4 linked regions of the Drosophila melanogaster genome follow. Changing the gene in region 3 together with the main gene of any one other region gives a genetic interaction. Each region holds a gene or a part of one and is shown on either strand. Other genes may lie near its edges. The genes, in order: Cad99C, ck, Ubr3 and Sans.

What was found.
Region 1: of Ubr3 (region 3) and Cad99C, changing one enhances a phenotype caused by changing the other (phenotypic enhancement), as found in Drosophila melanogaster (one study listed by BioGRID).
Region 2: of Ubr3 (region 3) and ck, changing one enhances a phenotype caused by changing the other (phenotypic enhancement), as found in Drosophila melanogaster (one study listed by BioGRID).
Region 4: of Ubr3 (region 3) and Sans, changing one enhances a phenotype caused by changing the other (phenotypic enhancement), as found in Drosophila melanogaster (one study listed by BioGRID).

What each region holds. Positions count from the first base shown.
Region 1 is NT_033777.3:29,839,392-29,844,657, reverse strand, and holds the start of Cad99C (cadherin 99C), read right to left. Parts: upstream 3,002-5,266; 5' UTR 2,868-3,001; intron 1,934-2,867; exon of another isoform or gene 1,785-1,933; intron 1-1,784. UniProt on the Drosophila melanogaster protein: Cadherin that functions in epithelial morphogenesis and the intestine epithelial immune response. Essential for female fertility. Regulates the length and organization of apical microvilli in developing follicle cells and salivary glands.
Region 2 is NT_033779.5:15,054,670-15,059,758, forward strand, and holds the start of ck (crinkled), read right to left. Parts: upstream 3,194-5,089; 5' UTR 2,999-3,193; exon of another isoform or gene 2,836-2,998; intron 1-2,835. Other genes in the region: CG33679 (uncharacterized protein), read left to right, coding at 3,634-3,999, 4,063-4,218; TfIIS (RNA polymerase II elongation factor), read right to left, coding at 4,822-5,089. UniProt on the Drosophila melanogaster protein: Myosins are actin-based motor molecules with ATPase activity. Unconventional myosins serve in intracellular movements: can function in cells as a single-molecule cargo transporter.
Region 3 is NC_004354.4:7,934,052-7,939,112, forward strand, and holds the start of Ubr3 (Ubr3 ubiquitin ligase), read left to right. Parts: upstream 1-1,844; 5' UTR 1,845-2,917; coding exon 2,918-3,560; intron 3,561-5,061. Other genes in the region: RpS14a (ribosomal protein S14a), read left to right, coding at 1-219, 279-497; RpS14b (ribosomal protein S14b), read left to right, coding at 1,152-1,388, 1,448-1,666. UniProt on the Drosophila melanogaster protein: E3 ubiquitin-protein ligase which is a component of the N-end rule pathway. Recognizes and binds to proteins bearing specific N-terminal residues, leading to their ubiquitination and subsequent degradation.
Region 4 is NT_033778.4:12,934,932-12,940,912, reverse strand, and holds Sans (scaffold protein containing ankyrin repeats and SAM domain), read right to left. Parts: upstream 4,023-5,981; 5' UTR 3,824-4,022; exon of another isoform or gene 3,817-3,823; intron 3,298-3,816; exon of another isoform or gene 3,240-3,297; coding exon of another isoform or gene 2,643-3,239; exon of another isoform or gene 2,570-2,642; intron 2,514-2,569; 5' UTR 2,461-2,513; coding exon 2,438-2,460; intron 2,346-2,437; coding exon 2,202-2,345; intron 2,139-2,201; coding exon 1,917-2,138; intron 1,827-1,916; coding exon 831-1,826; intron 762-830; coding exon 596-761; 3' UTR 501-595; downstream 1-500. Other genes in the region: Mdr49 (multi drug resistance 49), read left to right, coding at 1-489; CG30487 (uncharacterized protein), read left to right, coding at 2,643-3,239; SCCRO3 (squamous cell carcinoma-related oncogene 3), read left to right, coding at 4,960-5,134, 5,213-5,350, 5,414-5,747, 5,804-5,981.

The sequences.
Region 1 (5,266 bases), on a different chromosome or scaffold from region 3:
TAACCGAAACTCATAAAATAGGGGAATAAAGTGCGCGCTCTAATGAACAAAGCGAATTATTGAATTTCAACTATTGGCTGACAATTAAAATCCAAGCTGATGGATCTCTTATCCTTAGCCGCCACTGACAACTATTGTCTTCGATGGCCAATTGCAATTCGATTTACGCAATTAGCCAAATAAACCAATCAAAATACCCATGATTTCCCAACGATTTATTTAATTTCGCCAAAGTGTGCTGCAATCGCGAGTGGAATCAAACTTGTCTGCAAACGCAACTGCTGCTGAAATTATCTCCGAAATCATAAAAGCCCCGATCGCCCATTGCGTAACTTAAGTGCGAGATATCACATGGTATTGATATGGGGGCTTAAATGCTCCGTCGTGCCGTTCCTGCTTCCATTTGCGAGGAAATCGAGAAAATCGGGAAAATCGCGAAAAGCGCTGCAAGTCCTCCGCTTTCACTGGACGGTACACAAAATGCCATTTTCCATTTCCCCCGCATAAACAAAGGCGCGAAGCTGGAGGAGATCGGAGAAGGAGCAGGAGGAGCAGGAGCAGCCAGAGGAGGAGTTCGGCGGTGGCCACCACAGAAAGTCAGTTGCTGATTATGTTCAACCGGAAACTTATAGAAAAAGCCGAATGTGCCAAACTGGTTTGCAAAATAAACGAAAGCCGAGGTATCGCTTTGAATGCCTGTGTACTGTGTGTGTTGTGTGTGTTGTGTGTGTTGTGTGTGTTGTGTGCTGCTGGGTGCAGATTCGATATGCGGCAAACCTGTTGCTTATTGATGCTGTTTTTGCCAACATTTTCTAGTTTTGAATGTGGTACAATACGTAGCGAACTTAAATCTCAAATCTGCTGGAATGCGAACGATGGTTGCCACACAAATCTTAAATAAACAAGAAAGGAACGCCAGCATTTGGGCACCGAATGGCGGCATACCCTGGTCCACCTGGCCACTCGGCTCCCCTGGATGATCACTCGGATCACTTGGATCACCTGGATACATACATTCATGTATACACCATCGTTCTGTCAGCTCCAACTGCGATTGTTATGCTAATTCGCTGAGTGTTTTATTGTATTTTAATTTTATTGGACAGAGGACGCGCTCTTGGCCATACAAAGTATTTCTCCTCACGGATCCGTGAGATGTTTCATAATATATATCGAATTCTATCAGCATATAAAGTATCTCAATCTATGCCATTCATTTTGGCTGTCCATATATTTATGACTCCTGTGGGAGTAAATATATGATCGTCTTCAAAATGGCCATTTGTCGAGTTTAATGACTCAAAGTGCTTTAACATTCTAATCGTTCTAATGAACTCGACAAGTATCTTAGAGCCAATTTGCTGAGAATCATTTTTCCTGATGATTAATTTTAATGATTCGCCTTTTTATCGAGAACACGTCTAACGAAACTTAAGCAACTGCTGAGTAACATAAACATTCTACCATTATGATTGTCTTAATTGGCCAAAATAAGTTGAGTTTAGAATAATTAAAAACAAATCTTTGAATTTAGATGATGGCCAAAGACATTGAACTGCAAATTCTTGGGTGACAATAAAATTAATCGACCTGACTTTCCGCTGAAGAAAAAACGGTTAGGTGATTATGTTTTCTGCTTTATAAATGGCTTCTAGCCATTTAGCCAAATGAAGATTAATCTCCGCCGCCCGGAGAAAAGAACATTATTTCATCATTTTGCTTCTCCCCGCCTTTGGATGCTGAATAATTTAATAATAATAATACTAATAATACTCCGCACTTACCGTTTGGTCTAAAGATTAAATATTAAAGCAGCTCAAAGTATTTCAGCTGAGTATCCAACGTGAAAAATGGAGTCACACGCCGTTAACAAAGGTTATTCTTGGTCCTCAATTACATTTCGATTTACTATATTATTCAATAGATGTTGTATCTGCGCATTAAAAAACAGGGTTAAACTCGATTAAAAACACTCGCGACACAAATTTGAAGGTGTTGTAATACTTATTTTATGTATTTCTCTGTCATAAAATTCATATTGAATCCGAAGTTGATCATTTCGAAGTTGATGATCACCGGATCACCGGCTTGGAAGTGAGTTTTGCCGCACTGAAGTGAATTTTAATTACTGTTTGGAGGTTGCCCTCTTGGATTAATTATAAGCCATAATGTTTCGCGAAAAGCTGGCGAACAAAGCGGCGCGTGGGAGTTTGGTAGCATGTAGTAAAAGTAGCATGGCAAGTCGATGACTATCTACGTATGCCTGTACAGTGAACACGACTGTGTAAGTTTCTTACACAAATCTCGACATACGTGACCTCATTTGCCGTTTTTTTTTTGTTTTTTTTGGCTGTTTTATTGCTTGTTTCTTGGTTCTTGGCAAATGCCGCAGAAATCCCGGTCGATAAATGCGATTTGCTTAATACGGCGATCACGTTCACATTCCACATTAGTGTTCTATCCTTTGATATTCGGCAAAACGATGATGGTTTCGTTTGTTTTCTGTTTTCACTCCACTGTGAGTTGTGTTGGGTAAACAAAAAAACTGAAAAATTGGCAAGAGAAAGTCTTGCTCTCGGGGGTTAAAGTGGTGTGTACAAAGGTATGATTTTTAGATTTAATGATGGCGTGAAGGCTTTGTTTGCCTCTCGGGGCTTCTTTGTTATTTAAACGGAGCGCTATTTCGAGATATCTGCGTGGTATGCCCTTTTCAGGCTTCTATGGCTACAGCTTTAGGTTGCCTTGGATCCACCGGACACACCTCACACATCCACACATCACACGTCGCCACAAACGGACCATTCTGAACTTTACACATTTTCTTGAGAGATAACTCTTAAAAAATTAGCTCTTGGGCATATTCATACCAGCTCGAAAACCGGTATCGCGCCAGCCACCTTATAGCAATAGCGCTGCGTTGGGGCACAAGCTCATACTCGTCGTGCTACACTGCGCGAAAGTACGTGGTACGTGGTGTCGGCTCGGCGGTTGGATCGGTACTGTTTCGCTTTACCTGTCTCGCGCAGCAGCGGCAACAAGTGGGCGCTACCCGATCCAAGGTGGAACGTATTGGAATTGAGCTGGCATTCGCTCGCTTTGCGGTAAAACTGGTTTTTCGGGGGTTACTCGTTTGCCAGCTGATGGATACCACACCATACTCAAACACACACACACACACACACACACACATGCGAAAGGCTTCGGCTGTGGAGCACAGGTACTGCGATCCACGATCTGCAGGTGCATGTACATACACAGCTATGTACATATGTATATGTGTATGCTGCGCGGACAGAGAATCTCGAGCGGCTAACAGCGTCTGTTAAGTCAAAGGTAAATATGTAAGAGACCACCATGTTGCATTTTCATAGGAGTTGGAGCCGTGGATCGGGCTTAGAGTTAGCCAGCCAGGCCAGGAACCAGTTTTGGGGCTTCGGCTCGGCTTGTCGCTCGCTTTGTGTTTGCTTTTCTGTTTCAGCTGCACTGCAGCCGTTGCTGTGTAAGTTTTTATTAAAATGTTTTAGTCGATGTTGCCGCGATTTTGGCCGCTCACTCCACTCCACTGCAATCCACTGCAATCCACTGCAATGCAATGCAATCCGAGCTGCGATCCGGGGCATGAATGAAGTTCACCAAAGGGGCAGACAGCATTTTTGTACCTGTCAGGCGGGCAGGGAGTCGTCGCATATGCATATTCCGTTGCCATTGTACTGGGACAATGAGACAGTTGCACCCGGCTGGCTGGCAATCCGCGAAATTGGCATTGCCATCATGGGTAGGTGTTTCCATCGAACACCACCATCGAATACCACCATTTCCATTTCCAGCCGGATGCTGCCAGAACAATTGAGCCAATATCGTTATATTGGCATTGAAAGCTGCTCAGATCGATGGGATCAGCCAAATATGATAATTTGCGCAGATCTTGTTTCTCGAAATGTCAAAGCACCTAATTATAGCAAACATAGCATATTCATATGGCACACAAACTGTACGGTAAGATTAAGCCATGTGCTAAATGGCTATTAGCGGAGTATCTTCATGGTGCTAAACGCATGGGAGTCTGCCATCTTCATCACAACTGGCTGGAGGAGAAAGTGCAAGGGTTTTCAGCAGATGTACGTCATTAGCTCGTTTTACTGTTTGCTAACAAGCCAGTTGGCTGTTAGCTCCTCACCTGGCCAAATCCGCATCCCACTGGGTTGGGATTTAATTAAGGCTTAGCTTCTTTCGTTATTATAAAGAGGCAGTTTCTTGCTACATTTATTGGGGGTTCTTGGATTACCATAATGTCTGTGCTCTTCCGGCTTGGTCATCACTTTTACGATTCGAATGGCCCATTTTCGCGATAATTTGCCGATCGGCTTACATATGTCAAGTTCGAAAAAACAAAGTGCCAACTGTTTGAATTCGCTACTCTAACAGGAAGTTTTTGGATTATGAACAAGTTGGTTAGGAGGAGCTTGTAAGGTGTATTTCATTTTAGCCATTTATGCTGACATTTAACAAAAGTGTAGTTCAGTGACCCAAAGTTACACGCTGCTACTGGAGTTGTAGCCAAGACAGATTTGCTTGTGATTCTGCAAAATGTTTTTGGTAGTAGCAAGCTATATGCTGATATGCTCCATGAGTACCGGATATGAAGGTATCAAGCGAAATGTGTCAGCCAAAACTGTAAGGTTTCGCATTGACCATGCGCAAAAGCTCGAATTGCTGGTTGAGCCAGTTTAAAATCATTTTTGCCTTCCTGAGAATTTTCGATTGCACAAACGACAGGTGCAGCATAGGCAAAATAAATTGTGGTGCATAGCAAATATCGTTTCGAAAATGCTTTATTTCAGCCATATTACCAACAGACAGTTGCAGACTAGATTTTATTGGCTCCTGGCTTAACTTCTTTGAAGAAAAGTTAAGTGGGAAAAGCGCAACAAGTCAGTGAACGAGTAAAAAAACATGCAACCTGCTGGCTTTAAAAAATATTACGTTATCAGCGCAAAAAGCGAATGAACTAATAAAGGCAAATAATAAACCGCCTGGTTTCAAATTACTTCACTTTGGCAGAGCTCCACTTCTGCCCGTAAGCAGCTCAGTCTTATGATTGCAATTATAATTTATAATTTCTTTTATTGCCGCCAATTTCTTTTATGAAAGCCAAGTCCCAGTCCCAAACTGCATTGTTCTGCCCCTCACATGCTCTCGTTTTGTCTTTTGCCTGGCCGGGTAAATCATTCCTGGTCCGCTTAATTGCTCCACAAGTACTCCACTC
Region 2 (5,089 bases), on a different chromosome or scaffold from region 3:
TAGTTACTCATTGGGAGGCGTCTCTCCTCTCCACGGTAATTGCAACATGCCAGACAAAAAAAAAAATAAAGCAGCAACAGCTACGGAGCAACCAAATTTAGTGGCACACGGCGGCACGTATACTCGTACACATACCAGTCTGGTTACGCTCTGCCGGTCAAAATACGAGTCTAGTGCACATAGGGAACCCATCTATCCGCGATCCACACTCGAACCACAACCATATAGCGACCTCAATTGTCGGCTGGAGTTCAAACATTTAACTAAGACATACATACATGTATTAAGTAATATTGCTCAATACTCGTTGTCCTGTTATCAGCACCCAATTTAATAGTTTAATGCCCTCATTGTCATCTAAATCCCCTCTTTCCGCAAGTACTTAACTGTAGAACGCGGAAAAGGTTTCATTTATTGGGAACTCTATTTGTATCTTAAGGATTGCTTTTTAGGTAAACGTATCTATATTCGTATTTTAATCTTTTTTTGGTACTCAATCCACAACTGTTTTCAAATTGAAGAGAGCACTTAGACTAAGCACAGTCATGACTGAATTATTTAAAAACGATTGCCTAATTGCCGTACCTGCTGTTATCAGAATTTCCCTGCAGTGCAAGTAGCGATAAGAAGCGAAACATCAAACAAGGTGTAAATCGAGGTGTGAGGCAGACATTTGTATCTCTGGGCATGACCAAAAACGATTAAAAAACTTATAGAATCGAGCAAAGAGCGTCTAAGAATTTCCGGCTCTGCAGATTTAGCATCGAATGGTAGTGATAGTGGACTCAGTGACGAACGATTGGCACGTATCTAAGTGCATATATATGGTAACCATATGTATGTATATGTACTGCATGTATATATGTCTATAAGTAAGAGAGTGCGTTTTTAGTGAGTGATCCAAAAGTTCATCGAGAGTCATTAGTGAAAGTTCGTGTGTGGCAGCCACGTACAATTACGGTTTATGCCATCTACTCTACACTACATACAGACACTCGGCCATATATTATCTATAAACATATGTACATATAAAAGTATGTATGGCGTTCATACCAATTGTTTAATACAACCACTTTTTGTTCACTTTGACTTTGACACTTGACATCATGTTGTTGTCATCTTTGAGCAATTTGTGGCATAAAAACATTTCCTATCTGAAAAATTCATATTCGTCTTATTTTACAAAAAATGCAATAATAATCCTATAAGGTTTCACTTTACTTATACGTTAATTGGAGCACTTTAGTTAAACCCATATTGTTTTATTGGTCACTTGAATTATAGCTCTCAAGATAATATGGCTAATAATAAATCCGTAGTAAAGTCTATGGAATGCGAACGATTCTTAAATTTAAGAGCAAATGCACTTTTTCAATTCATTTGAACATTTATAATATTACTTATTTTACAAAAATATTGATTATATGTTGCCTTTAGACCTTTTCAAATTTAAATTATAAAGTGTTTGTTATTAATGTGAACTTGTAAATGATTTAAATTTAAAAAACACCGTTAGTTGTAGAATTTTTTTTTAACTTTTTCCATAATTACTAGCATTGCTAACAAAATTCTTTTTCGCAAAACTTCGTTTGTTGTTCACACAATTTGCTTCTGGTTTAACAACTGAAATCTTCTACAAAATTTAACGACTCACCAGCGACAACAACAAAAATAAAAAATGGGCAAAGTATTATGTTCATTTTTTTTTTATTATGTATTTAGAGAAGACCTTAAAAAAGTTTCACCAAACAAACAGAAAGTCGCTGCGTGCGCGAAAGCCCCCAGCAACAACAAAAACAAAAACAGCCCAACAACCCAAATGGAAACGCAAAAAAAAGGTTGAGATGGGAGAGAAGAAACAAAAACCGGCTAATGAAAAGCGTTTATTTGAAAAAGGGTTTTCCAATTGTCCACACACGAAATGTCCCGTTGTGCAACAGCAAAAACAACAAACCGGACAAACAAGTGTGCCTGCGTTTTTGTTGTTATTGTCAATTTCAGAACTCTTGACCGCTGAACTGCAAGAAAAAGCAGACGCTTCATGATCGATTTGTATTTATGCAAATTTATGTAAATGGGATATACAAATATTTAACTTGAATGTTTGAAATTTATAAACAATTAATGATAGTACACTCTGATTAGATTAGATTTACACAGTAAAAGTATTTCATATATGTATATTTTTCATAATCATAATGATAGATTATAAAAAAAAACGTTTTCAACTGATTAATAAAACACACTTAGTCACTGTTTTAAGGTTTACGCACGTAATTCCATAAAAGACTATTCAAATCATTTTAAATTGACATCGTTTATTTCTCAGTGTGGAAGCCTGGTTCAAGCTCAAGGAGAATGAGAGGGAGAGAGCGCACTGTCGAGAGCGGGTGGGAAAGGTACGTGGCAGAGGGGGAGACGGTAGCAGCACCCTTGAATGTGTTGCACTGTGAGCCGCTCTTTACGCATCTCTCCCTCTCGCTCGCTCTGCAGCTCCTCGGCAGGTGTACCTGTCCGTGTGTGCGTGCGAGAGAGCGGGGCTGCGCTTGTAGTGTGCATGTTAGTACCGTTCTAGCCAACGAAACCTGAAGCGTAGCTATTTAATTTGGTCACTCGCCTAAAGCAATAAAAATGCAATGCAGCCACGTCTCCGTCTGGAAATGCAATAAAATCGATGATGTTACACTGAACCGATGCTGTGACCCTTGTCATTTTCCCCACTGGCTTTTCTAGCCACAAACAGACACACATTTACACAGACCGCTTGGCAGGGTTAATGCACTCTTTTCTTTTAGTTTCGTTTCATTTCTTTTCTTTTTTCCAATCACTCTCTACCTTAATTGCCGCCTCAGAATTTTGCACTCTCCGCTTTTCGGTCACCGAATTCGAATTCTAATTGGAATCGCTCTCGCCACGACCGTTTAATTAACACTTTTCCAGACCCGTCGAAAGCGGGATGTTCTTTTTCAAAAACAGGTTACATAAATAGGTCACGCACCAGCAGTCGCAGGAATAGAGCAGCGCGCCGAAAGTCCGCTTTTCCAGCACAGTTAAGCCGAGCAACAGGTGGATTACAGACCACTGATCATTTTGGGGCTGTGCGATTTGTTTATTGTTTTTCTTTTCGCCGAGAAGACAAGACTTGAAGCGAAAAATAACAACCGATAAACTGATCAATAAGAGTGACCAGGTGGTGGGGCCAGTTGCGAATGGCCTAAAAAATGCGCGGATTACTAATCGTGGTATGCTAACGAGTTAACATTACAGTTCATTTGAAAACCGCTTATATGGTCACATTGCCGCGTAAGCAGTCCGATCGATAGACTTCCGATAGCATCGATAAAAATAAGCATTACTTACCCAAATTTATCGACCTGCCTAATTTCGGCGCGCATTTCAAAATATCTGTCATAAGCTATTGCATTTTTCAAGAAATATCTTTTTTCTATGTCAATATATTAAACATGTCGTCATATTAGCTCATTGAAGCGGTTTGTTGATTACCTAATTATTTATACGAACTGCGATAAGTAGTAATTAAAATCTAATTATGCCCCATCAGTAATTATATTTTTGGAAACCAGTACTCCACCATCGCGTAGAGTGGTCATTACATCCAGACTATTTGCCCTGATGAAGTACCTCTTGTGGATCAGCTTACTTTTCATTGGAGAATCCCATGGATACGTGCGCCTCACGAACCTCAAGTGCGAAAGCTATGACAAATCATTCGTCGTCTTTCCCGAATGCCGACTAAAAGTGCTTGGCAGGGGAATTATCGGAGCCAACATACACGTTAAGCTTCTGAAACTGCCAATAAATAGGATGGTCGTGAGATTCATCACTTACCGGAAGCTAAACGGATACCATCCGTTTCTATTTAATGTTTCCGAGGAACACTGTCGCGTCCTAAGGTATCCAAATCGTCTCAGAGTCTTCTACTATTTCTACACCGCCTTTATGCCCTTTTCCAATATTAATCATACATGTCCCTATAATGTAAGTATTTAGTTTCGCCAATATGACAATCATATTAAATCATATTAAAATATATATTTTAAGGATGATATTTACATAAGGAACTGCACCTTGGATGATCGTATGTTTGCCAAGGTCCCATTACCAAAGGGTAGCTATAAGTTAACCCTCGAAATGGATGATGGTGTCGTGAACTGGATTTCCATCATAAACATCCACTTTGAAATTGACGTTGACTAAGATGAACAAAACATTAGAACACCTAATGGATCTAACACAACGAACACATATTTATTTTGCGTTAATGTTTTAATTATTCCTATGCCCGCTATATGATATAGTTGTCCGATCTGGCCCGTTCCGACTTCTATACTTAATGCAATACAAAGTTCGTTAATGCAAATTGCTTTAAAACTGACTAATTACATCGGTTGTTAATACTCTTCGAGAATACATACACAATATGGCGTCTTATTTACTTCTCTGCTAGATCATTCTGAGTTATATTTATAATGTATTCATATTTACTTTGCTCAATGCTCAATTTATCGCCCCGCTGTGTTATCGGCGAGTTATCAGCAGCGTGGTCGTTATCACCGGCGTTTTTAAAAAACTGATTGCGGCAACAAGACGTCTCCGTTTTATCAATAGTTAATGTTTATTGAAATTTCTTTTCTCTCGTTTAAGGTTTAGGTGGTCAGAGTAAACGCCTCCGCAGTTGGGCAGCAGATACAAAATGTTTTCTCGCGTGTCGTGTCTTTACAATGTTTCATTTAAGAATATGAAGGATGTGTGGTGTGTGCTCATTTGGGATTGATTTATATTTTGGAACAATTTTGGGAGTTAGCAGAACTTCCATCGGTTGCCGCACTCGTTGCACATGACGAAGGTGGTCATAGGTTCATCGGCGGAACGAGTCTGCAGCTGGTTGTAGGTGCAGTTGCGCTTCTTGCACTTGGCGCACTTGAGGAGATCGGTCTTGGTGCCCTGCACGGTGGCCAGCTGGGCATCGTTGATGGCCTCCTTGACGAACTTCTCGCGCAGCTTCTTCATCTCATCGCTGGCCATCTCCTCCGGCGTCATTTTGGCCAGCTGCTTGGCAGTGACGGCG
Region 3 (5,061 bases):
AAAGTTCAGAAGGAGGAGGTTCAGGTCCAGCTGGGACCCCAAGTTCGCGACGGCGAGATCGTGTTCGGAGTGGCTCACATCTACGCCAGCTTCAACGACACCTTCGTCCATGTCACTGATCTGTCCGGCCGTGAGACCATCGCTCGTGTCACCGGAGGCATGAAGGTGAAGGCCGATCGTGATGAGGCTTCGCCCTACGCCGCTATGTTGGCCGCTCAGGTGAGTTGTGCGCTCTCCGGTCCAGTTGGAGCCCGTCTAACGGTTTCAATTCCCTCCAGGATGTGGCTGAGAAGTGCAAGACACTGGGCATTACTGCCCTGCATATTAAGCTGCGTGCCACCGGCGGCAACAAGACCAAGACCCCCGGACCCGGCGCCCAGTCCGCTCTGCGTGCTTTGGCCCGTTCGTCCATGAAGATTGGCCGCATCGAGGATGTGACGCCCATCCCATCGGACTCCACCCGCAGGAAGGGCGGTCGCCGTGGTCGTCGTCTGTAGATGGCAGTATCTGGAAAGCAGTAGTCTATGTTTGCGGTCGAAATACAATACTGCATTTGTGTATGCGATAAGAAAGCTTTTCTGTTCGTGTGCATAGGTGCACTGTAATAAACCAGGAAAATACGATGTAAATGACTACAAGACATTTTTGTGTGTGCATTGGGTTCGGTTTGGGGTCTGCAAGTGCTGCAATATTTGATTTATAAGGACATTGGCGAAATGTTTACAAAAATTGCACATTACAAGCCGAAGAGTTGCCACCCTGGCGTGCCCAACGCGGTGGTAGCCCGATTGCGCCATCAAAGTAACTATGCGTCGATAACTATCGCATTACCAGCTGTGTTGTTTTTGCCTTCTTTTTTTCGCATCCGGCGCACGCAATTGGTTGGTTTTCTGCTATTTCTCCCTTTTTTTGTTCAATTTTACTGCAATTGACTTATTTGGCGGCAAAAGCGAAAAGTTGCTGCTAAATATGATTCAGTGATTTAGCATAAAATGAAAAATTTTGCGGACGCCGTGAAAGTGGTGGCGAATTAATTTGTTTCTCCCCCATTTTTTTTTGTGTTGTTTTTTTTTTTGTAGTGATTTGAGCCGGCAAATAAACATGGTGTTTTTTTCTCTTTTAGTTGCTGATCGACGACCAGACTCTGCAGAATGGCTCCAAGAAAGGCTAAAGTTCAGAAGGAGGAGGTTCAGGTCCAGCTGGGACCCCAAGTTCGCGACGGCGAGATCGTGTTCGGAGTGGCTCACATCTACGCCAGCTTCAACGACACCTTCGTCCATGTCACGGATCTGTCCGGCCGTGAGACCATCGCTCGTGTCACCGGAGGCATGAAGGTGAAGGCCGATCGTGATGAGGCTTCGCCCTACGCCGCTATGTTGGCCGCTCAGGTGAGTTGTGCGCTCTCCGGTCCAGTTGGAGCCCGTCTAACGGTTTCAATTCCCTCCAGGATGTGGCTGAGAAGTGCAAGACACTGGGCATCACTGCCCTGCATATTAAGCTGCGTGCCACCGGCGGCAACAAGACCAAGACCCCCGGACCCGGCGCCCAGTCCGCTCTGCGTGCGTTGGCCCGTTCGTCCATGAAGATTGGCCGCATCGAGGATGTGACCCCTATCCCATCGGACTCTACCCGCAGGAAGGGCGGTCGCCGAGGTCGTCGTCTGTAGAAATGGATCGTGCCACCCGCTTTTGACGCTGCTTTATATTCTTATACTATTAAATACATGCATAAATGCAGTGGCAAGGGCATGTTTTTTGGGCTCATGTGTTTCATTGTGGCCAGTGGCAACGCGTCGTTAGGTGGTGCTATCGATAGGTGATGGTTGGGACCACCAATGGTATGTGCAGGTGTAGAGCGGTCACACTGGATGAAATTCAAGACCTATCGATATCCTGATATACACGCCAACGAAGACCGTGTGTGGATTCGTGGAGCAAATCGAAGTTGGCAGGATTAAAGGCATTCGCGAACGCAGAGGCAGCAGCTAAAGGGCCACCCATGCACCAAAGAAACAAACTAGCTGGCCCAGCGGTTCATTTATCTGCGACTAACAAGCTAAAATCGGCGTAATTGGCAAGTTCAATGCACGACTAATATATTTGGCCACACTTGCCAGTGTATGTTTGTTCGTGTGCGTGCCTGTTTGTGTGGTGTCGTCTCCGTACGTGTTTGTGTGTGTGTCCGCGACGAGTATGTGTGCGCACATATTCGTATATCTGCAAGACTCGCGGATGAAACAGCGTGAAAAGTGAGCAAAATATCGGGGAAAAACGGCACGGTACGGCCACAGAACGGAACGGTACGGTGCGATACGATATCGAGAAAAGGCCATCAGCCAGAGTACTCCTCGATCCGGAAACGGATAATGGGGATATAGATGATACAGCCAATAGCTCCCCGAAAGCCACAGCACACAATAGGTCGGTCGGTCGGTCGGTTGGTTGGGCGACGTCGCCGAGAGTTAAACATCAAAAATCAAACCCAGGAACCGACGGAGCTAAGTGTCAAGTGTTTGGTGTTGTGAAATTTTTCGTTTCCAGCTCTCCGTTCAGCGTTCAGCCAATTTGCCAACCTTTTCCCCTCTTTAATTTGTTATCCCCGGACACCACAAGAGTTTCGATCAAAATTTTCAATTGAACGCAACATCGCCATAAACAAAAACATAAAGGTAAAATTCGGCCACTACCCAAACAACAAAAAAATAAAATCATAAGAAAAAATCACGCAGTAACGTAGAAGAAGCAGCAGCCGAAGCCGAAAAAAGACGAAAAGAAAACTTGTTTGAAAAGGCCGAACCGAAAGAAGAAAAAGAGCAGCAGCAGCAGCACAGCGGCCAAGTTTGGAAGAATTTCAGAATTTCAGCGTGCTAGGAACGGAGCAGCGGACCGGCGACGTCACCAAATAAACGCCCATCACCATGGACGAGGATGACAACCTGTCCAATGCCGACATAAGCATAGATGACGAGGAGGTGGTGCGGGAGCAGACCCACCATCCGCCCATGCAAGAGGATCAGGAGCTGGATAACGAAGATGGGTCATCCGACGTGGATCTGTCTTCGGTGTACGTCGTGCCACCCATAGTCTCGGCACCATCGCCCGCATCAGTGCGCATCGCTGGTGGATCCACAATTGGTGGCGGAGGGGTCGCAGCTGGAGCAGTTCCAACAACCACCGATAACTCGCATTCCCCCTTCCACGATTGGGATTCCAGTGTGGCGGCCGCTGCTGCTCCACCGCCGCCACCGCCCAGGACAGGACCAACTACAACTACAAGCTCCGGCACAGCCGCGGAATCGGGAGCCGCGTCCGCCTTATCCGACGATGCCGGCGCCAAGCCAAGTTTCTTCTTTGGCGCCTCCTCGTTCAGTTTGCGCAGCCGCAAGGAGGTGGCCGCCCTGATCAACACGGAATGCTGCCGTGGCAGCCCCACACCCGATCTCGACTCCATAATGGATACCCTATTCAATCCGGGGACGCCCATCGACAATCTGGACAACATCGAGTGGATACGATGGCTCATTGCCGGCGGACGGACGCCGCAGGAGTTTGTTAAAATTGGTACGTCCCAATGTGTGCATATCGATAAGTGTGTTGCATTTTCTATCGCCAAACAGCTGATCGCAAGTCCGTTGCCCCTGAAACTCTGACCGAGCATGTGTGTGTTACCTGCGTTATGTGTGTGTGTGTCTGTGAAATGTAATGGTTGTAGGGCACGCAAAGAAAAGGTAGAGAGGAAGAGAGCATAAAAGCAAGGTGCAAGGCAGCGTGAAGAGTGCGAGTGCACCACCATGGCAACAGCAATCAAGCGCACTCTCTCGCACACACAGCACACTCACTACACACACATATGCACTGATTAGGGGAGTCAACTTTAGCCCAATTTAATCTCAACTGCTCATCTATTTGCAATGCTGTATTTGTGCATAATTTTCATCACTACTTATTACTTTTTGTGCCAGGCTGCGTATGTCGCCAAAGTTGCTTTTATCGTTTATGGTTGTTTGTCGCGTCTAGTCTTGTCTTGTCTTGTCCCACTTGTCAGCTCTGTCACACGCACACATACACACACTCGTGCAAACTGGCGGGCGGAGACGTACACGCACAGTGGAATGCAGCTTGCACCTTGTGGCTTTGTATCAGCTGTTTCGGTACGCCTTGCGTAATAAATGTTTCCGCAGCATCCGTCCCAAAACCACACGAACACGAATGTAGATGGTGCTTGATTATATGATGGCACCTTTTGTCACCGCTAGGTGCTCCTTTTTTTTTTTTGTGTTATATTTCTTTCACCTTTTTGTTTGTTACTCGTTGCAAGAACAATTGCAAAATTGCACTGGTGCGGAAAAAGTTGATTGACCGTCATTGTTGTTGATTTGACAAAAACACGCACAGTGGTCGCGAGGGGCGGATGTGATGTGGCCCACTGTAAGCTGTCAACGGCAATTGACCGAAAGACCGTTATGTTATTGGGTGGTGTGTATGTGTGTGCGTGCGTGCGTGTATGGGTGAGGGTGAGAGAGTGCACCTTTTTTCCGTTCCCATGTCATGTCACCTCCCCTTCCCTTCGCCACACCCTTGCTCCTCCATTCGGACCTTGTCCAAAAGTTCTCAGTTAGAAAGAGACTGCTGAGCCAAGATAGTGAGAGCGAGAGAGAGTTGCTAACTTTCCGTTGATCGATCGCTATTACAATTTTACAACATTGTCAATCAACTTTCCGCTGCACTGTGGTTGTTATTGGCCAATCCATTCGATTTCCTTCCGCATGCGGCGGCCGACAACGTTGACCTTTTTAGTCAACAAGGTCCGAGCGGAATACGTACATACATATGAACATACATATGTGTATAAACTACGAAACATAAAACAATCGTATGTACATAAATACATGTACATACGCCCCAGAACGCAGGCCGAAGACAAAAAATCAAAGAGTCACGCAACTAAAAGCAAGAAATTAACTAAGCAATGAGTGCATCATTTTATTTTTGGAACTCAAATCAAATCAATAGCAATAGCAAGGCAATGCGGTCGGTCAGAAAAAATCAGCTAGCCTCGACT
Region 4 (5,981 bases), on a different chromosome or scaffold from region 3:
TCGCAGGAACCCGTGCTCTTCGATCGCACCATTGCCGAGAACATAGCTTATGGCAACAATTTCCGTGACGATGTGTCCATGCAGGAGATTATTGAGGCGGCCAAGAAGTCGAATATCCACAACTTTATAAGTGCTTTGCCCCAAGGCTACGACACCCGACTGGGCAAGACATCGCAGCTCTCTGGAGGTCAGAAGCAGCGCATCGCCATCGCTCGAGCCCTGGTTAGAAACCCGAAGATACTCATCCTGGACGAGGCCACCTCTGCGCTGGACTTGGAGAGCGAGAAGGTGGTGCAACAGGCGCTGGATGAGGCGAGATCAGGCCGCACATGCCTGACGATTGCGCATCGTCTGACCACCGTGCGGAATGCGGATCTCATCTGTGTGCTAAAACGCGGCGTGGTAGTGGAGCACGGCACCCACGATGAGTTGATGGCACTGAACAAAATCTACGCCAATCTCTATCTGATGCAACAGGTGTCGGGCTAACACAGCGAACTGGAGTGATAATTGTTAGGCTTTAATTTAGTATGTACACTAGGCTAATTGAACATGTTGAAGTATTACAAAAAAAATAGAATGATTAGGCCAACTACTACAGTCGACTGTCTACCAGGGGTCCGGGATTGGCCAGGGCGTTACGTCTCTCCTGAATGGCGAAGGTGAGTTTACGGAATGGCCCCAGTGGCAAGCCAAGTGACTTAAGGTCCGATTCTGTGAGCAGCATCAGAGTCTCCAAGTCGATCTCTTGCTTCTGAAATCTGAAATGGTAAAGGAGGATACGAGTTGAATACACATACATTCCAGACAAATTTGGTTTTGTTACTCACACTGGCAGGTATTCTTCCAGGGCCCAAACGGCCAGGAATCGCTGCAAGGCACTTCCTCCGGCATCTCGGTCGTCGTCGTCATCATCGCTATAGATGTCATGACCGCCGCCCTCCGAGTCCGTATCATCCGAAAGGTTCAAATATAAACGACCCTTTCCTCCGCCATTTCGTGTCTTTGGAGGATTGCTGCCCGCATTCCGCATCGTGGAAGTGGAACTGGTGTCCGTGTGCAGTTGAAGCTGACTTAAAGCAGCAGTTACGGATCGACGAAAGGCAATGCTGCCCAGCATGGTGGGTCTATCGAAGAGTCCAACGGGTCTCTGGAGGGTCACTTCCTCGCTTAGTTCCTGGGTCAACTGACCATCCCCCAGAATATCCGGTTGGGAGAAGGAACGCGCTAAAGTAGAGCTATAGCCACTGCGGTTATCGCTGTGGTCCAACTCATCGGCCTCCATGCACTCAAAAACATCGCTGATCTTGCCGCGCTTGCCGACACTGTCCTCGTTGGAACTAAAGGTGCCCACATACAGCACCTCGGAGTCTCTCTGCAGACCCGTAAGCGATGTAATGGTTCGCTTTCCATCTGGCTCCACCTCGCGCACCTTGAAGCCACCGTCTGTGTCGCTGGATATCTTCGAGTGTGGACATGTGCTGCTGTGCTGCTTTTGGAGCTGCGACGGTCTCTTTTGCACCGTTCCCGCTCGACTGGCTATTGTGGAGCCACCGCTGCTGCTGCTACCGTTCCCAACCAGATCGCTGAACTTTGTGGGAGGCGGTGTATCCCTTGGTGTCTTATTTAGATTGCCCTGGCTGGACCAGATCTTCTGCTTCAGAGTGGACAGCATGTTGCCGGTCTTGCTGGAGCCACTGGGTGCGCTTAGATCCGAATACTCCGGATCCTGGCGCTGTTGCTGCTGATTCTGGCGCTTCATGTACTCCCTAACACGTTTCTCGCAGTTTTTCTCGGCCAATTCTTTCAGGGCCTTGCTTTTTTTTCTGTTAGTTGAAGTATTAGTTTTAATATATACAAAAAATAAATTATGCAAACAAAAATGCAAGCAAGTGGCAGATATTTCATAAACTTACTTTTCAGTGGCCTCAAAGTTTGTGAAGGCAACATCCAAGTAGCGCAGGATCTCGTCCCTGCCATTAATAGCCGCCAGATCCTTGGCGCTGTGCTTATCGATATCCAAGGCATAGATGTTTACTCCGAATTTCACCAAGAAGTCGACGCAATGCAAATGACCCTTGGCGGAGGCCAAGTGCAAGGCTGTGTTTCCGAACTGATCGCATTTGTCAGGGTCACCACTGAAGGGAGAGGAAAGGATTATCTTCAGTGGATATAGAATTATCATTTAAACGAATGCGTACCCCCTTCCGCACAGCAGACGCAGTGCATCCAGACGCCCCTCGAAGGCAGCCCACATGACCGGCGTCATGGAATCACTGTCCTTGGCATTCGTATCCTTCCGTGTGGCTGCTGCCAACACATCCAACAGCCCATCTTTGGCGGCTCTAAACGGAAACGATTGTACCAGAAAGTTAATGAGTCTCTTGTGCATCACCATTGGTGATAAGATAGAGTCAAATTAATTGCATGTACCCACTTGTGAAACCGATCCGATGACATATTCGTCTGTGTTATCTTTCAATCAGGTTGGCGATGGAAATTCTTGAATCGATCTGAAAGGAATCCAAGGCGAGATGAGTAGGCTGTTCATTATACTTGCCATTCCTTTCCATCACACATCTCAAGATTCTCAAAATTAGGTCACACACATAAGCGCCAACAATTCTTTACAATTAAAAAGCATGTCTATAGAAAAAATCTCCTCCGAGCTGCGTAAGATGATAATATCTGACAATCCAATCGAAGCAACAACTTTCGATAAATCTGCAATAGAGGCAACTTTGGATTCCAACAAATTCGAAGATCTACGAATTCCGAAGCATACACTGAAGCAAAAGTTTCTTCTTCGAAAGTCAATAATTGAACATCCCTTTAAAAGAATTCGTGCCGAAGGAGTGGATTGGGCTCACAAAATTCGAGACACCGACGAAGAGAAGGAATCTAATTGGGCAAAGATTGCGACTGGAAAGGTTTCTGGCAATGCCTACGATCTTAAAACCATGATGAGCGAGTGTGAAAATATTTGTGGTTACGGAAACGCCATAAACTTGACGGTCCCAAGGGTGGACAAACTACAGGATCTGGCTAAATCGATCCCAACGGATCCCGATACAGTCTACCTGACCTGTCAATGTGATGATATTTTCTCTAATGGAGGCACAGAAGCTCCGACTCAAAGCCCCGACGAAGTTAATTTCGAAGAGCTGTCCAGCTACTTCGAAAATATGCTCAACATACCCAAGAATCTTCCGCTCAGCGCTGAAATAATGTATACTTAATGATTGGAACGGTGTGTGTATTGTTATATTTAGAGTAAAAAAAGATATAAATCATTTTAGTTTACGGTTTTCTCATTTTAGATGTGGTGATGTTAGGTTTGGATCCCTATATATGCATATACATATGTACAATGTATGTATCAGATCGACTGATTTCCGTTTTGGTGTTACTGGTACCAAATGTAGACGGGGTTTTCGTACTTCTTGTCTTACTCCACTTTTTAATGTGCTTATTGTGTGGGGCTGGCCAATTAAAATAAGCCCGAAGATGAGCCAAATTCCTAAGCCTAAGCATATTGCCCTTTTTCCCAGCACTTGTACTAACGTTCACACGTTTCGAATTAATAATCCAAAAAAGAAAAAGAAAAGTGTAGCCGCCGCGAAGAATCACAGGCCCACGACACACGCACACAAGAAAACATTACCCATTTACTGCGCACGACGGAGTTTGGCTTACATACCAACGACCAACTACCAAGTTCACTCAACCTTGTTGGCTGGTTTTCGAATTGCCCAAAACAACCGAAAATCGAGACAGTCAACCATTTACTTATTTACCACGGGTACACACACTCACTTATTACCAGTTAGTTGTCCCGGTTCAAGACGACTTTTCAAATGCAGGATTTCAAATTGGATTTTCCCACTCCGGGCAGCTTGACACTTTTCTTTTTAGCCAAACGAACCGAAAGTTTTCATCTGCGATCGGTAGAATATGCACGTTCCGAAAGCCGTTACCCGGAAGCACTTTCTACCGCTCCGACTGCATGTTGTTGAATGAAATTGTTAGCTTTGCTCAAACTCGGCGCTCACATTACGCACAGTGGTCGAGAAAATGATAGATGCTGCTTAGACGGCAACTAAATATTTTAATGGGAAAAATTATGTATGCTAATGTTTTGTTTTAAATTTCTTAACCAATAAAGTAATATAAAGAATATAAATTAATAAAAACATTGTATTGAACGTATTGGTTCAATAATCGTATTTGAATATAGAATAATTTGTACGAAAATATTTAAGGTGTGAACTACTGTGCGGAATCAACTTGTATGTCCTACTGTGACTCTCTTCGACGATAGGGTGTTGCCAGACTGAAGTTGCTACGACTATCGCATCAACTAACGTAGAGCACTGCAGCCCTGGTTGACTAGTGCCGCCCTGGTCCGATTGCCAGAAAAAAACAAGACAAGTGAAAAAGCGAGATAAATCAAATTAAAAATATTGTAAAAAATTGTAGTTAAACACGCGCTGGAGCACGGTGAACTGAAAATGTGAATGAAAACCATCAATAGAGAGAGACGAGCGCGATTTGGTGGCACCAAATGCTGCAGTTGCAACCTGCACATGTATGTGTATACGCGTGAGTGTGCGTTTGCGTAGGAGGCACCAAAATAACAACAGCAATCGCAGTGACAACAAAGAATCGGAATCGGAATCGTACTTGTTTGTACTCGCACAGGACGTACTTGGAATCGGAATCGGAATAGCCACTACCATATGCCAGAGGAGGGAATCGCAGTGCCAATGCATAGTTAATAAATTTCCCAGAAGCTATACGACCAGCAGACCTCAATTGCAATTGCACGCCCCTTGACAAATCACAGTGTCTCAGCCAAAACGAAACTGGAAGCCATCGAGTGCTCCCGTTAAGCAAGCAACTGCAGGCGGAGCACGGGGGAGGAGTAGGACCTGGTGGTGCACCAAGCACGCCCGCACTATGGGCAATTGCCTGAAATGCTTCCAGTCTGCCGCCGAACAATCGATGCCAACGAACGCCTCGTCCCCCAATTCACACAATTCCAATTCCAACGCCTGCCAGACGGCCACCAGCCTTGCAAATTGCTACGAATCGGTGGGCATTAATCCCAATGCCAACGAGCGCTGCGCCTTAGGTGGGTATTCTATAGTTAATAACCGCATTGTGATCCAAAGTCTAAGAAACCTCTCTTATTCCGGCTTATGCACTCTAGAAACCGATGAACTGCTCTCTAGCCGAACTCCACTCAAGCCAGCAAAAGCAAACAATTGTGATACTAAGCGTAATAGTTTTAAGTCTTTAGGTTTGCTTAATGGCAGTGCGCCCACCATGAGCGATATCATAACAACTGGTGAGTCAGCGTTCATTCGACTGCCTTGGCGGCATACTCATTCGATTTTCTATATTCTAATAGCTGTCCAGGAATCGATGGAGGTATCGCACCAAACGCTGAGCAAACTATTCGATGTGTACAAAGATCCCGACGACGAGGAGATGATACTCACGGACGGCATCGAGCGACTATGCAATGACCTCAACTATCAGCCCGATGAGTTCGCAATTCTCGTCTTGGCCTGGTGCCTGGATGCCTCGCAGATGTGCCGCTTCACCAAGGTGGAGTTCATTGAGGGTCTGCATAAGATGAGGGCGGACACAATAGACAGTATCCGGGTGCGGCTGGAGCAGACAATCGAGATGCTCAAGGCGGACGCCGAGATGTTCAAGCAGTTATACCGCTTTACATTCCGGTATGCCGTTCTTACTGCTTGGAAGATCAGTACCTAATTAGCGTCTCAAATTTCAGATTTGGTCTGGAGCCCGATCAGCGCGTCCTCTCTCTGGAGATGGCTATTGACCTGTGGAAACTTGTGTTCACTGTACAAACACCTGATCTCTTCTCCAACTGGATACACTTCCTCGAAAAGCACCCGAATATTCGCCGCATACCGAAGGATACATGGAACATGTACCTCAATTTTACG